Linked DNA regions of Macaca mulatta. The protein of the gene in region 1 interacts with the protein of each later gene in a biochemical or structural test. Links are inferred from orthologs where the notes say so. Each region holds a gene or a part of one and is shown in the gene's direction. Other genes may lie near its edges.

Evidence for each region.
Region 2: the proteins of NCK1 (region 1) and SOS1 form a complex in vitro, tested with the Homo sapiens proteins (2 studies listed by BioGRID). The link is inferred for Macaca mulatta from reciprocal best matches to the Homo sapiens genes NCK1 and SOS1.
Region 3: the proteins of NCK1 (region 1) and FASLG form a complex in vitro, tested with the Homo sapiens proteins (2 studies listed by BioGRID and IntAct, with this or other methods). The link is inferred for Macaca mulatta from reciprocal best matches to the Homo sapiens genes NCK1 and FASLG.

Annotation. Positions count from the first base shown.
Region 1 is NC_133407.1:39,960,445-39,964,008, forward strand, and holds the end of NCK1 (SH2/SH3 adapter protein NCK1), read left to right. Parts: coding exon 1-435; intron 436-2,380; coding exon 2,381-2,575; 3' UTR 2,576-3,117; downstream 3,118-3,564. UniProt on the Homo sapiens protein: Adapter protein which associates with tyrosine-phosphorylated growth factor receptors, such as KDR and PDGFRB, or their cellular substrates. Maintains low levels of EIF2S1 phosphorylation by promoting its dephosphorylation by PP1.
Region 2 is NC_133418.1:85,814,959-85,818,949, forward strand, and holds the start of SOS1 (son of sevenless homolog 1), read left to right. Parts: upstream 1-1,154; 5' UTR 1,155-1,771; coding exon 1,772-1,858; intron 1,859-1,993; exon of another isoform or gene 1,994-2,112; intron 2,113-3,991.
Region 3 is NC_133406.1:30,156,219-30,160,271, forward strand, and holds the start of FASLG (tumor necrosis factor ligand superfamily member 6), read left to right. Parts: upstream 1-1,216; 5' UTR 1,217-1,258; coding exon 1,259-1,603; intron 1,604-2,154; coding exon 2,155-2,200; intron 2,201-4,053. UniProt on the Homo sapiens protein: Cytokine that binds to TNFRSF6/FAS, a receptor that transduces the apoptotic signal into cells. Involved in cytotoxic T-cell-mediated apoptosis, natural killer cell-mediated apoptosis and in T-cell development.

The DNA of each region.
Region 1 (3,564 bases):
GGTGACCATGTGGGTTCTCTGTCAGAGAAATTAGCAGCAGTCGTCAATAACCTAAATACCGGGCAAGTGTTGCATGTGGTACAGGCTCTTTACCCATTCAGCTCATCTAACGATGAAGAACTTAATTTCGAGAAAGGAGATGTAATGGATGTTATTGAAAAACCTGAAAATGACCCAGAATGGTGGAAATGCAGGAAGATCAATGGTATGGTTGGTCTAGTACCAAAAAACTATGTTACCGTTATGCAGAATAATCCATTAACCTCAGGTTTGGAGCCATCACCTCCACAGTGTGATTACATTAGGCCTTCACTCACGGGAAAGTTTGCTGGCAATCCTTGGTATTATGGCAAAGTCACCAGGCATCAAGCAGAAATGGCATTAAACGAAAGAGGACACGAAGGGGATTTCCTCATTCGAGATAGTGAATCTTCGGTAAGTTGATTTTCAGATGTAAATACAAATAGAGCTCTATGTATTAAAAAGAAAAAGAGAAATGGAGAGGTTAAGTGGCTTCCCTAAAGTTAACCAGGTAACAAGCTGGGACATAACATAAGCATAAATGTTCCAAAGCTAAAGTCAGCATTCTTTCTAGCTATCTATTTTCAATGAAAAGAGAGTTGTGGCAGTGATGCTACATGCTGAGTTATTTGGTCTTTTCTAGTTCTGTTGATTTTGCATTCCTGATATATTTTCTGTTGCATTAAACTAAATGGAGAAAATGGAACATTGACTTCTTCATTGAATGTAGAATAATACTGTAGATTAAATTGGGAAACATTTTAAAAATTGCTATTGGATACAATGTGTAAGAAGATAGTCACTGTAGTCCTTATGACATAGGAAATCCCTGAATTTAAAAAATTGATACTAAGTTTCTTCATAAATTGGTTACCTGGAAATTGGAATACACTTTTTATTGTAATCTCAAAAAACCTATTTTAACACTGTGTTTGAAATGCATTTGCAATAAAAGGTAAATTATATTGCAATACTAGTAAACAATAAAACTATAAAACCATAAAAGTTGAAAAATAGTATGGTTTCATGGTCTCTTAGATACTGTTTAGGATATTAGAATTTGATGACACTCATTTTCCTTAAAAATGCCCTTTTCCTTGATAAAAGATATCATTACTTTTCCATTTATTAAATCATGATTAATCTTGGCTTTGCGTGAGTATATTTGTACAAAAGGGAATGTGTAATTGCACAAAATTTTGAAAGAAAATGTGTGGAAGTGGGGTGTGGTGGGGAGAGAGATTAATTGAACTTCTAATATGAAGTTCAGGAAAATGGGGCCTGTGCCTAATCCCTCAGAAAAGCAGTTGGTTGGCAGTAGGGAAGAGTGATGACATCCATTTTCTGTTAGTTGCCTGATCTGGCTCACTGTTTGAAACTTTGGGAGTAACTGTAGAAAAAGAGGCTTTTGGGGGTTGATATAGACTGTAACAACAACAACAACAACAAAAAACCTAATTAAAAAGAAAATAGCTTGAATGCAGAATTGTGTGTATTTTCTTGTGGGTAATTGAGCATAAATATAAGACAAAATACAATATATACCATTATTTTTAGCAGTATACTTTTTAAGGTTAGGTCTCAAGTAGGCATATTTTGTTTAGCCTTCACAGTGTTTTTTAAACGTTTAAATTCATTGCCCATATTTAAATATTAGGATATTTATTGTAAAAATTCAGACTTTGGACCATTTAAAATTGAAAGAACTACCAACATTGAGACCCTATTCCTGCGGGGCAACAATCACAGCTGAGAAGTCACCACTTCTTTAGATTGGTGATACACTGTCATTTTCTCTGCCCATCTACCCTTCCACTCTGACACTTGTTTACGTTATTCTTTTGGCTCTTGTAGGCATTTGAGTTTGTGGCCTTTCCTTAAAGTTTAGATTAATTCTCATTTGTGTGTTCTTCATTTTTGGGAATTCAGCGTGTTATCCCTAAGACAGCTACTGTTAGCTACACATTGAAAAGGGGTTGGGTGGGTATCTTAGACTTTCTCATGTGTTTCTCTGACTGGAGAGAAGATAGCTCTTGTTCTTCAAATATGTAAGGGATTTGCTGTGGGTGTCTACTGGTGGAGCTGTGGGTGTTAAGAGACTTTTGATTACACAGGTTTGAATCCTGGCTCTGTTGTTAACTAGATGGATGATACTGGCCAATTTATTAATAGCTTCCCTGAGACTCAGTTTTCACATCTGTAAAAAGGGTTTTGTTTTAGGGAGTAAAGGAGATAAATCTATGTAAATAATTTACCATGGTACCTAGGACTTAGTGCTTAAATTTTAGCTTTTAGTTTAATATAAAAATACTGATAGAGGGCTTTCAAAATGTTTACTGTATTTTTTTTTCTCTTTTAGCCAAATGATTTCTCAGTATCACTAAAAGCACAAGGGAAAAACAAGCATTTTAAAGTCCAACTAAAAGAGACTGTCTACTGCATTGGGCAGCGTAAATTCAGCACCATGGAAGAACTTGTAGAACATTACAAAAAGGCACCAATTTTTACAAGTGAACAAGGAGAAAAATTATATCTTGTCAAGCATTTATCATGATACTGCTGACCAGAAGTGACTGCTGCATAGCTGTAATTTGTCATGTAATTGAAGACTGAGAAAATGTTGGGTCCATCGTGCTTGATTGGAAATGGCTGTTTCTAAACCTTTATGAGAATTGACAATAAGTATTTTTATTATAATTCAGCCCATACATATATACTATGTATGCAGTGCATCTGCATAGAACAGTTCCTTATCCTTGGCCTTCTGTTTTATTGTTTTTTTTCTTTGCTGTTTTCCCTTTGCTTCTAATATTACAGTTTTGTATTTTGAAAAAAAAAATCAAATAATGCTTATCAGAATCTTTATATGGAAGAAATCCTTTATTGCCTATCCTTTGTTTCCTTGTAAAGGCGCCCTGTTCTGTTATGGTTTTTCATTATATAAAATTATTATATCTATATATGACATATGCTAAAATAAATTTCTTGGAGAGTGTTAATCTTTTCTGTGACTAAATAGCAATAATAAATGAAAAATTAGAAATTATTTCCAGGTATTATATTTGTCACAGGCCATTGTAAATACCAAGTATATTGTGTCTGCCTTAATTTTAAAAAATGCATTCATTGTCTTCAGTCGTACAGAAAGACACATGAGACATAGATTAGAAAACATGTTGTACAATTTTAATTTACAACTGTTGGAAACAAAAATCACTTTCTTAATTTTTTTTCCAGTGCTTCTCCCTTATCTGGTTATTCAAGAAAGCCAAATTGTCTCTGAGATATTTAGCTTTTCAAACTATAAATAGATGCTCTAGTGTTATTTATTTTTTTTAATCCCACTTATTTTACCAGGGCATCTTGTATTAGGATATGTTATATTTATGCCAGTGGGAAACAAGTTATGGCCAAGTTTTGCAAAAATAGGAAGCAGTGAGATACTTGGTTTTTTCTCCTCACTAAATATCAGTAATTATCAGGAATGGTATTACCTATTTTCATTTCCTCTTTTCAGCTTTAAATTTTGTTGATTGGGACGCT
Region 2 (3,991 bases), on another chromosome or scaffold:
AGGTGATCCACTTGCCTCAGCCTCCTAAAGTGCTACAGGCATGAGCCACCTCGCCTGGCCGGCCTGTATATTTTTAAAGGAAATAACCTAAGAGTTTTTTCCAGATTTTCAAAGAGGTCCTGTAAAGATTAAGAACCACTGAACCTTTCTCGTTTGCCTGATCCTGGTTACTGTTCTCAGGAATAGGAGGACACAATGTCAGCTTTAACCCAGGCTAGTTCCTCTAAACTGCCTTATCGGTGAAATGAAAATAATAGGGTTGCTATGGGGATTAAATGAGATGATACTCAAAAAGTGATAATTAATGATAAATCATAAGGTGTCTGCCACAAAGTGCCCCTATTATAAACAAACAGTGGCCTGGAGGGACAGTTTATAAATACTGCTCCTTTAGCATTCCACTAATATTCACTGAGTGCCTGTTCTGTGTAGAGGCCCTGGTGAAAAAGATCGGCCTTCCAGTATATTATCTAGTCGAAAGAACCTCAAAAGATACAAAACACGATAGACTGAACGCCCTGAGAAGGGCGTAAGTGCAGTGCTCTAGGAGCTGTAGAAGAGGTCTCGATATCCACTGGAGGAAAGTGTTTATTGGAGTTCATATCTGGAGTGGGTTTAAAAGATGAACAGAGGGAATCTAAAACATACACACAAAATCAATACTACACGTACACATTTTATTCTTGGTTTTGTGGAAAGACCAGTTAGAAACACTGCAATCACTTCTACTACTCAGCAGATACTGAGCAGTAGGTTTCGTGACAGAGCACCTGTATCTTTTGTCCAGTCTGTTTACTATACATTGCGTGCTCTGGGCAGTCCTTATCTTCGTGTTCAGGAACAAAGTACACACACCCCTTTCCGAAACGAAGGGCCCAGGGATTCCGAGAGGGGTGGGAGCCCTCACGGCCAGACCACACAATGGGGAGCCTCTTTACCCTAGTTATCACCCACCCCTGCAGGCTCCACTTTGCCAGGGTTCGACTTCTCGGGTCCTTTCGCCCCTCCCCTGCAGCCCCCAGGAGCGCAGCAACAGCCTGGCCAGGCGCCCTCCCTCTCTCTCTCTCGAGCTTCCCTCCTCCTTCACCGGGAGCCGGAAAACCCGGAGCGAACCAGCCCAGCCCGGCGGCGCATGCTCAGTAGCGAACAGGTTCAGTTCGCTAGTAGGAAGCTCTAGCGCTACACCGGCGGCGGCGGCGGCGGCGGCTGCGGCGGCACCTCAGGGCAGCCAGATTCCCCAACAACGACCTCGGGTCCTTCCCCTTCCCCGTGAGACCCCCGCCCCAGCTCAGCCCCGCCCGGGGCTCCTGCGTTTCGGGGTACCAACTGAGCAGAGCGGGCGCCGCGGCCGGAGCGTACCTCCACACGTCCTCCCCCAGCCGCCAGCTCCGCCGCGGGGCCAGGCCGGGCCCGAGAGTGCAGCCCCGGCGGGCGGGCGGGCGGCGGCCGCGGCAGAGGGCAGCCCCGGGCGGCGCCGGCGGGCCGGGGAGGAGGCGCGGGGGGCCTGGCCCCGGGGCGGTGGTGCGGGATGCCGCCGCCTCCGGGCCGCGTTCGTTCTCCACAGTTGGTACCCGTGTCGGGTGTGTGGCCGGGCGCGGGCCTCGCCCCCCAGCCCCCTCACCAGGGCTAGCCCGGCTGCGCGGCGCCCGGAGGGGGCCGGGCCGTCCGGTGGGGCCGCGGCCCTGTTCCGTGCTGCGATCTCGCCCTCTCGCAGCTCCCCGGCCCGGCCGCCGCCGCCCCTCTCCCCGCCCAGAGGCGCCCCGGGGGCACCATGCAGGCGCAGCAGCTGCCATACGAGTTTTTCAGCGAAGAGAACGCGCCCAAGTGGCGGGGACTGCTGGTGCCTGCGCTGAAAAAGGTGAGGAGCACGCGGGACCCCGCTTCCCGGCCGCAGCACCCCAGCGCGGGCGCCGGGCTGGCGCTGGGGAAGGGCTGGGGAGGCGGGGCGCGCGCAGGGCTGTCTTTCTTCCCGGTCTCGCCGCGTCTCCAGAAGGACGGCGCACACTGAGAGGCTCGCCATACGGCTGGCTCTCAGTGTTGACATCCACCGGGTGTGTGGGAAGGCCGCAGGGAGCTGGCGGGAGTTTATCCGAATAATCCAACCCCTGAGAGGTGAATGCTTTGCCCTTTGATTCCAAGACAACAGTTGCAGGAGCCTCAGTTTTCTGCGGAGGTCAAAGCAGGCCACTTTTCCGCCTTCTCGGTCTTAGCGCGGAGCTGCTGTCAGCCTGCCGTTTTAGGTGTCCAGTACGCTCGTTTTAGTGGCTTTTCGAGAATGCCCTGGCCGTAGTGCTTGCTCAAAGGAATTGCGAGCTCGCCTGCCAGCAGTAACGTGGCCTGCTCTGTTCGCCATCAGCAATCACTCCTCATTCTCCTGGTTTCCCCCGCTCCTCCGATTAACAGGGGCCGGTGCACATGCTACCAATTTCGGGGTTTTTTTGTTTTGTTTTTGCAGCGTTAGAAACTTGGTGCTGTCATTTGGTTAAGAATTTTTAGCCTTTGTATGTTTAAGTTTGCTACGTTGTTACATACCCCCGATCTGTGCTTTTAAATGTTTTAGTATAATTAGGAAGTGTTGTTACATTTTTAAAGCTTCTAAAGCAGCAGTGTGACTACCAGACTATTTTTGTTTCCTTTTCTTCATTTACCTTTTCTGTAAAGATTGCTTTGCTCTTCTAATAGTGTTTCTAAATTCCAGTTTCTTGCTGCTTAAAGAATGTTTCATGCTAACTGCTTCTACTAAGAATGGAGATTAATGTTGTACCTTTTATGCTAAACATTAAAAGCTGTCTGATATTTCTCAAAGGCCAGTAACTTTTACTTTCCCTTTTGCCCTGTTCTCCTCCTGTCCCTCTTGCTGTCTTACAGTGGAAACTATTTGGTTTGTCAGGAGTATTTGCTCATATATTTCTGACTTAAGTTACGGACATTTTCCCCTTCAAGTGTCTGACTAGTCACAAACATCTATTTTTTTTTTTGTTTGTTTGTTTGTTTTTTTTTTTTTTTAAAGAAAACCAAAAAGATGCCATGTATCTTACATACTTTACTCCTTAGAAATCCCATCAGGCTCTCACTCCTTACTTTTGCTTTACTTGCAAGTTTGGCTTCTCAGCTTGCAATGGAATGGGTGTAGGACGTCTCTGTGATGCTAGAAGCTGGTGTCCGGATAGGGTAAGAGGAGACAGGGAAATTGTTTAAAAATCTGTAAAGGAACTCATAAAGTATTGCCAAATAGGGGCCATTTTGCTTAGAGGCAAAAACAGCTGCTTTCTTAGGGAATCACCAAGCTATCAGCTGAGAATTCTTTGAAGTAGTGGAAAGAATATTGTAGGAGTTGACAGACCTTGTTTTAATTCTGCCACACTGGTGGCCCTTGCTGGAATCTGTCCACAGAAGCATTTTGTTTGGCTGGCACAGTGTGGTTTTATTTTCAAATGTAATTAGTTGCTAATATTTGAAAATGGGAGATATTACATAAAATCTGAATTTTCTGCTTTTCTTGACGAATAGGAAGGTCTTGTCATTTAGGGTCTGTATTCAAGCGAGGCACTAAACTGCTGGAGGTGAGTAAATGGCTGCCTTCTTTAGACAGGTCGTGTATCTCCACCTTACCACAGCCCCCACTTGTCCTTTTTGCATATTTACATAAACCAGCTTTTGACTTTAAGCTAGAAATATTTTTGCAGTAGAAGTGATAAGAGGAGGTGGAAGTGTACATAATCTAGCTGATATGTAAGGTTCTTCCAATTCTTATTTAAATATCCACTAACAATGATTCTAAACAAGGTTGAAAATACAGTATATTTCATATCTGGATACGTTGTTGGTAGCTCAAAACCTACGTTTTTACCTGCCTGCTGGATATTTCATGTGGATATCTCCATATCTTGATTTCTTCCTTTGATTTATTATTGAATTATTTGTAGATGCATCCAACTCGTGTTCTCTTACTCTTACCTGAGGCTCTTTGGATATTCTAGTCCCTTCATCC
Region 3 (4,053 bases), on another chromosome or scaffold:
TTTAATGTGTATTTAAAATGTATATATATTAAAATATTTTTAATATTGATATTAAAAGTGGTCAATTGGGCTGAGTGCAGTGGCTCATGACTGTAATTCCAGCACTTTGGGAAACTGAGGTGGGAGGATGTCTTGAAGCTAGGAGTTTGAGACAAGCCTGGGCAACATAGCGAGTCCCCATCTCTACAAAAATAAATAAATAAATAAATAAATAAGTCAGGTGTAGTGACTCATGCCTATAATCCCAGCTACTTAGGAGGCCGAGGCAAGAGGATTGCTTGAGCCCAGGAGTTTGAGGCTGCAGTTAACTACGATAGCACCACTCCACTCCAGCTTGGGTGACAGAGTGAGACTCTGTCTCTATTTAAATAAATACGTAAATAAATAAGCTGGGCAAACAATGAAAATGAAAACATTGTGAAATACAAAGCAGTTCTGTGGGTTCCACTGTTTGCAGCCTCTGATCTAATTTCTAAAGAGGGTGTAGCAGGTTTTTTAACCTGTAAATTATGGTGATTGGCAGGTCAGGGTAAATGGTAGTTGTGTGTGGGGAAGCGATGATGGCAACAGGTGTTTTCCTCCTGCAAAAACGAAAATGTGGGAGTGACTTCTCTGGCCATGGCTCCATGGTCTCTCCCCTCAGAGCCAATTTCAGTAAAATTTTTATAGTTTAAAAAATATGGTTCTGAACAATTTTTGTTAGAGTTATTTTGGTATTTTTAAATAGTTTTTTGGTCGTATACATGGTAGAATTCTTAACATTATACAATTGTAATGTATAAAAAAGGATACAATTATAATTCATAAAATTATAGCCCCACTGGCCATTCTCCTGTAGCTGGGAGCAGTTCACGCCAACAGGGCTCTACCCCAATGCTGACCTGCTCTACAGGATCCCAGGAAGGTGAGCATAGCCTACCAACCTGTTTGGGTAGTACAGCGATAGCAACTGAGGCTTCCAAGGCTTTCGTCAGAAGATTGTGGGCGGAAACTTCCAGGGGTTTGCTCTGAGCTTCTTGAGGCTTCTCAGCTTCAGCTGCAAAGTGAGTGGGTGTTTCTTTGAGAAGCAGAATCAGAGAGAGACATAGAGAAAGAGAAAGACAGAGGTGTTTCCCTTAGCTATGGAAACTCTATAAGAGAGATCCAGCTTGCCTCCTCTTGAGCAGTCAGCAACAGGAGTCCTGTCCTTGACACCTCAGCCTCTACAGGATTGAGAAGTAAAACCGTTTGCTGGGGCTGGCCTGACTCACCGGCTGCCATGCAGCAGCCCTTCAATTACCCATATCCCCAGATCTACTGGGTGGACAGCAGTGCCAGCTCTCCCTGGGCCCCTCCAGGCACAGTTCTTCCCTGTCCAACCTCTGTGCCCAGAAGGCCTGGTCAAAGGAGGCCACCACCACCGCCGCCGCCGCCGCCACTACCACCTCCACCGCCACCACCACTGCCTCCACTACCGCTGCCACCCTTGAAGAAGAGGGGAAACCACAGCACAGGCCTTTGTCTCCTTGTGATGTTTTTCATGGTTCTGGTTGCCTTGGTAGGATTGGGACTGGGGATGTTTCAGCTCTTCCACTTACAGAAAGAGCTGGCAGAACTCCGAGAGGTAAGCCTGCTGGCAGACTGCTGTGCCCTGGAGGCACCAGGCATAAGGGGGTGGAGGGCCCACTGCCTGGCTTGCAAAGTGCTTTTCAATCCTTTTTTTTTTTTCTTAGAAATGGGTTGTTCTAGTTATTCTATTCTATAGGCAGAGAAATGGAGGCTCATAGGAGTGAAGGGAATATTTTTTATTTTGTAAAGAATCAGAGCCCAACAGTTTTTCTTTCCTCAGTTGTCAACTCAGTCTGTTGAACCACTTACTGCCTCATACCTAGTGATTTAAGGAGTAAAAAACAAACAAAACTTTTAAGTTTTGCTTGGAAGTAAATTTGTTCAGATGACCAAACTAAATCTTGAAAATACTTAAAATACTGGTACGATTTCAAATCACAAAACTGAGGGACAGTGAAGCAAAATTGCTTGACCAAAGCCTGAGTCAGCAAAAGTTCTGAGGTATTTGGATTCTCTTTCCAGGGCTTGGTTTATTTGACGATTCTGTCTCTTTTGCTTAAATAATTTTATTTTTATTATGCATCTTTTTTCTTTCTCTTTTACTAGTCTACCAGCCAGAAGCATACAGCATCATCTTTGGAGAAGCAAATAGGTGAGTCCTTTTTCACATGTACATTGAGTTCCTAAAGATGATCCTCAGCACTGAAATATGTTAATGGAATGCCTTATATTCTGTCCTACACTTTGGCTTATGTATACTATGAGAGGAATCCTGGCTAATTCGGAATCTCTGGTCAGTATGATTCCTTGAGCTGCTTTATAAATGTGAAGTGAATTGAATTGCTCACAATCAATATAGCTGAGCACGGCACACAATTCAAAATCACTTCCGCTTGACTTTGGAAAGAGACACACATATACAACCGTGGACTTTTGCCCCCTGAGCAGTGGTTCCAGGCCTGTCCCCTTCCACAGACACCCTGGTCCTGGCACACATGCCAGTGGCTATGACTTCTGGGAAGAGAAGGCGAAGTGAAGGCAGAGACAGATGTTTCTGAGAAACGTCCTCTCCTCTTTTAAAGCCTCTAAAGAGATTACAGTGAAACTTTATTTACAAAATGTTTTATAGGACGTAAGCTTTTAAAATGTGGCTAATCAATTCCGTACATTAGAATGGTTTTTCTTGAAGTCACTGAGAAGCTGAAGGGAAGACTTCAGCCATCATTCAAAGGATGTTCAGCTTCAGAGGCAGTCATGAGGTACCCTTGATCACAAAGGAAAATCCTTTGTATGGGAGCTAGGGCAAGAAGACGATATGTTGGAACACTGATCTCGTGAAATTTCAGGGCATAGTTTTGCAAGCTCTGTACAGATGGATTTTACAATGTGCTTCACTAGCCTAAGATTCATTGAAATTTTAGATTTAGATTTACAATGAGATTCACTGAAGGTTTAGAGTTGGAAGGAAGCTTAGAATATCCAGTCCAGCCATTTCATTTTTTTGGAAGAGAAACAAAATGCCAGACGGATTAGGTGAATATGCCCAAGACCCCTAGTATGGAACTGGGGCTAGAAGGAACACAGGCTCTTGATGCCTTGTCACCTACAGGGCTTTCCGGTACTGGACTGGTGCCTCATGAAGTAGGGAAACTCCTGTCTCTCTGTAGTGAGCATGGAGTGAGAAATAGAGGAAAAGCAGGATACCTCTGCAAAGACTATAGATAGATCGCATCCTTAGAAACTCAGAATAAAGAAGAAGGCAGCACTGGCCATCTATTAAGTGAAGTAAGTTTCAGTTTCTCTGGATGTGGCTACTGCAGGCAACCCAGTCGCCTGTCTACTGTCCTAGACTGTTAAGTTCTTATAGGAGCCACTGTTGGGAAGCTCTGGCCCCTGAGTCTGTGTCCTAATCCTTAAATGTTAGAAAGTCCATATGTACACAAGCAGAGTGGAAATATTTGCTAGAAAAATAAAGCCTCTGGAGGATGTCTCAAATAAGATCATTTTGAAAACCTGTGGAATGTGCCTGGTCTGATAGGTACCTAAGCATTCATCTTTTACCTCCTCTCTGGAGTCAATTTAGTGATTAAAAATCAAATGACCAGACGAGTCATGTCCATCTACCCCAGTAAGCAATTATCTTCTCTAGATCAACCCAGATGAACCAGAAATTGTTAAATTATCACAAGGAAATCAAATCAGTAACTTTACTAATAAGAAAAGAGATGCAAACTAAAAATAGGGAACACCAATTTTCATCAAATTAGTAAAGTTAACAAAAACCCAGACTGACAAAGATTTGAAAGAAAAGTGCTGTTTAAACATTAGTTTCAGCCAGTATACATGTAAATTGCTATAACTTTTTCTGAAGAGCACTTTAGAAATACATATCAAAAGCTTGAAACTAATAGTTTATGTTGTAATCCTATCACTAAGAATTTCTCTTAAGAAAATAATCAGAGATGTGCCTGAAGATTTATATATAAGGATGTTCATTACTCCCTT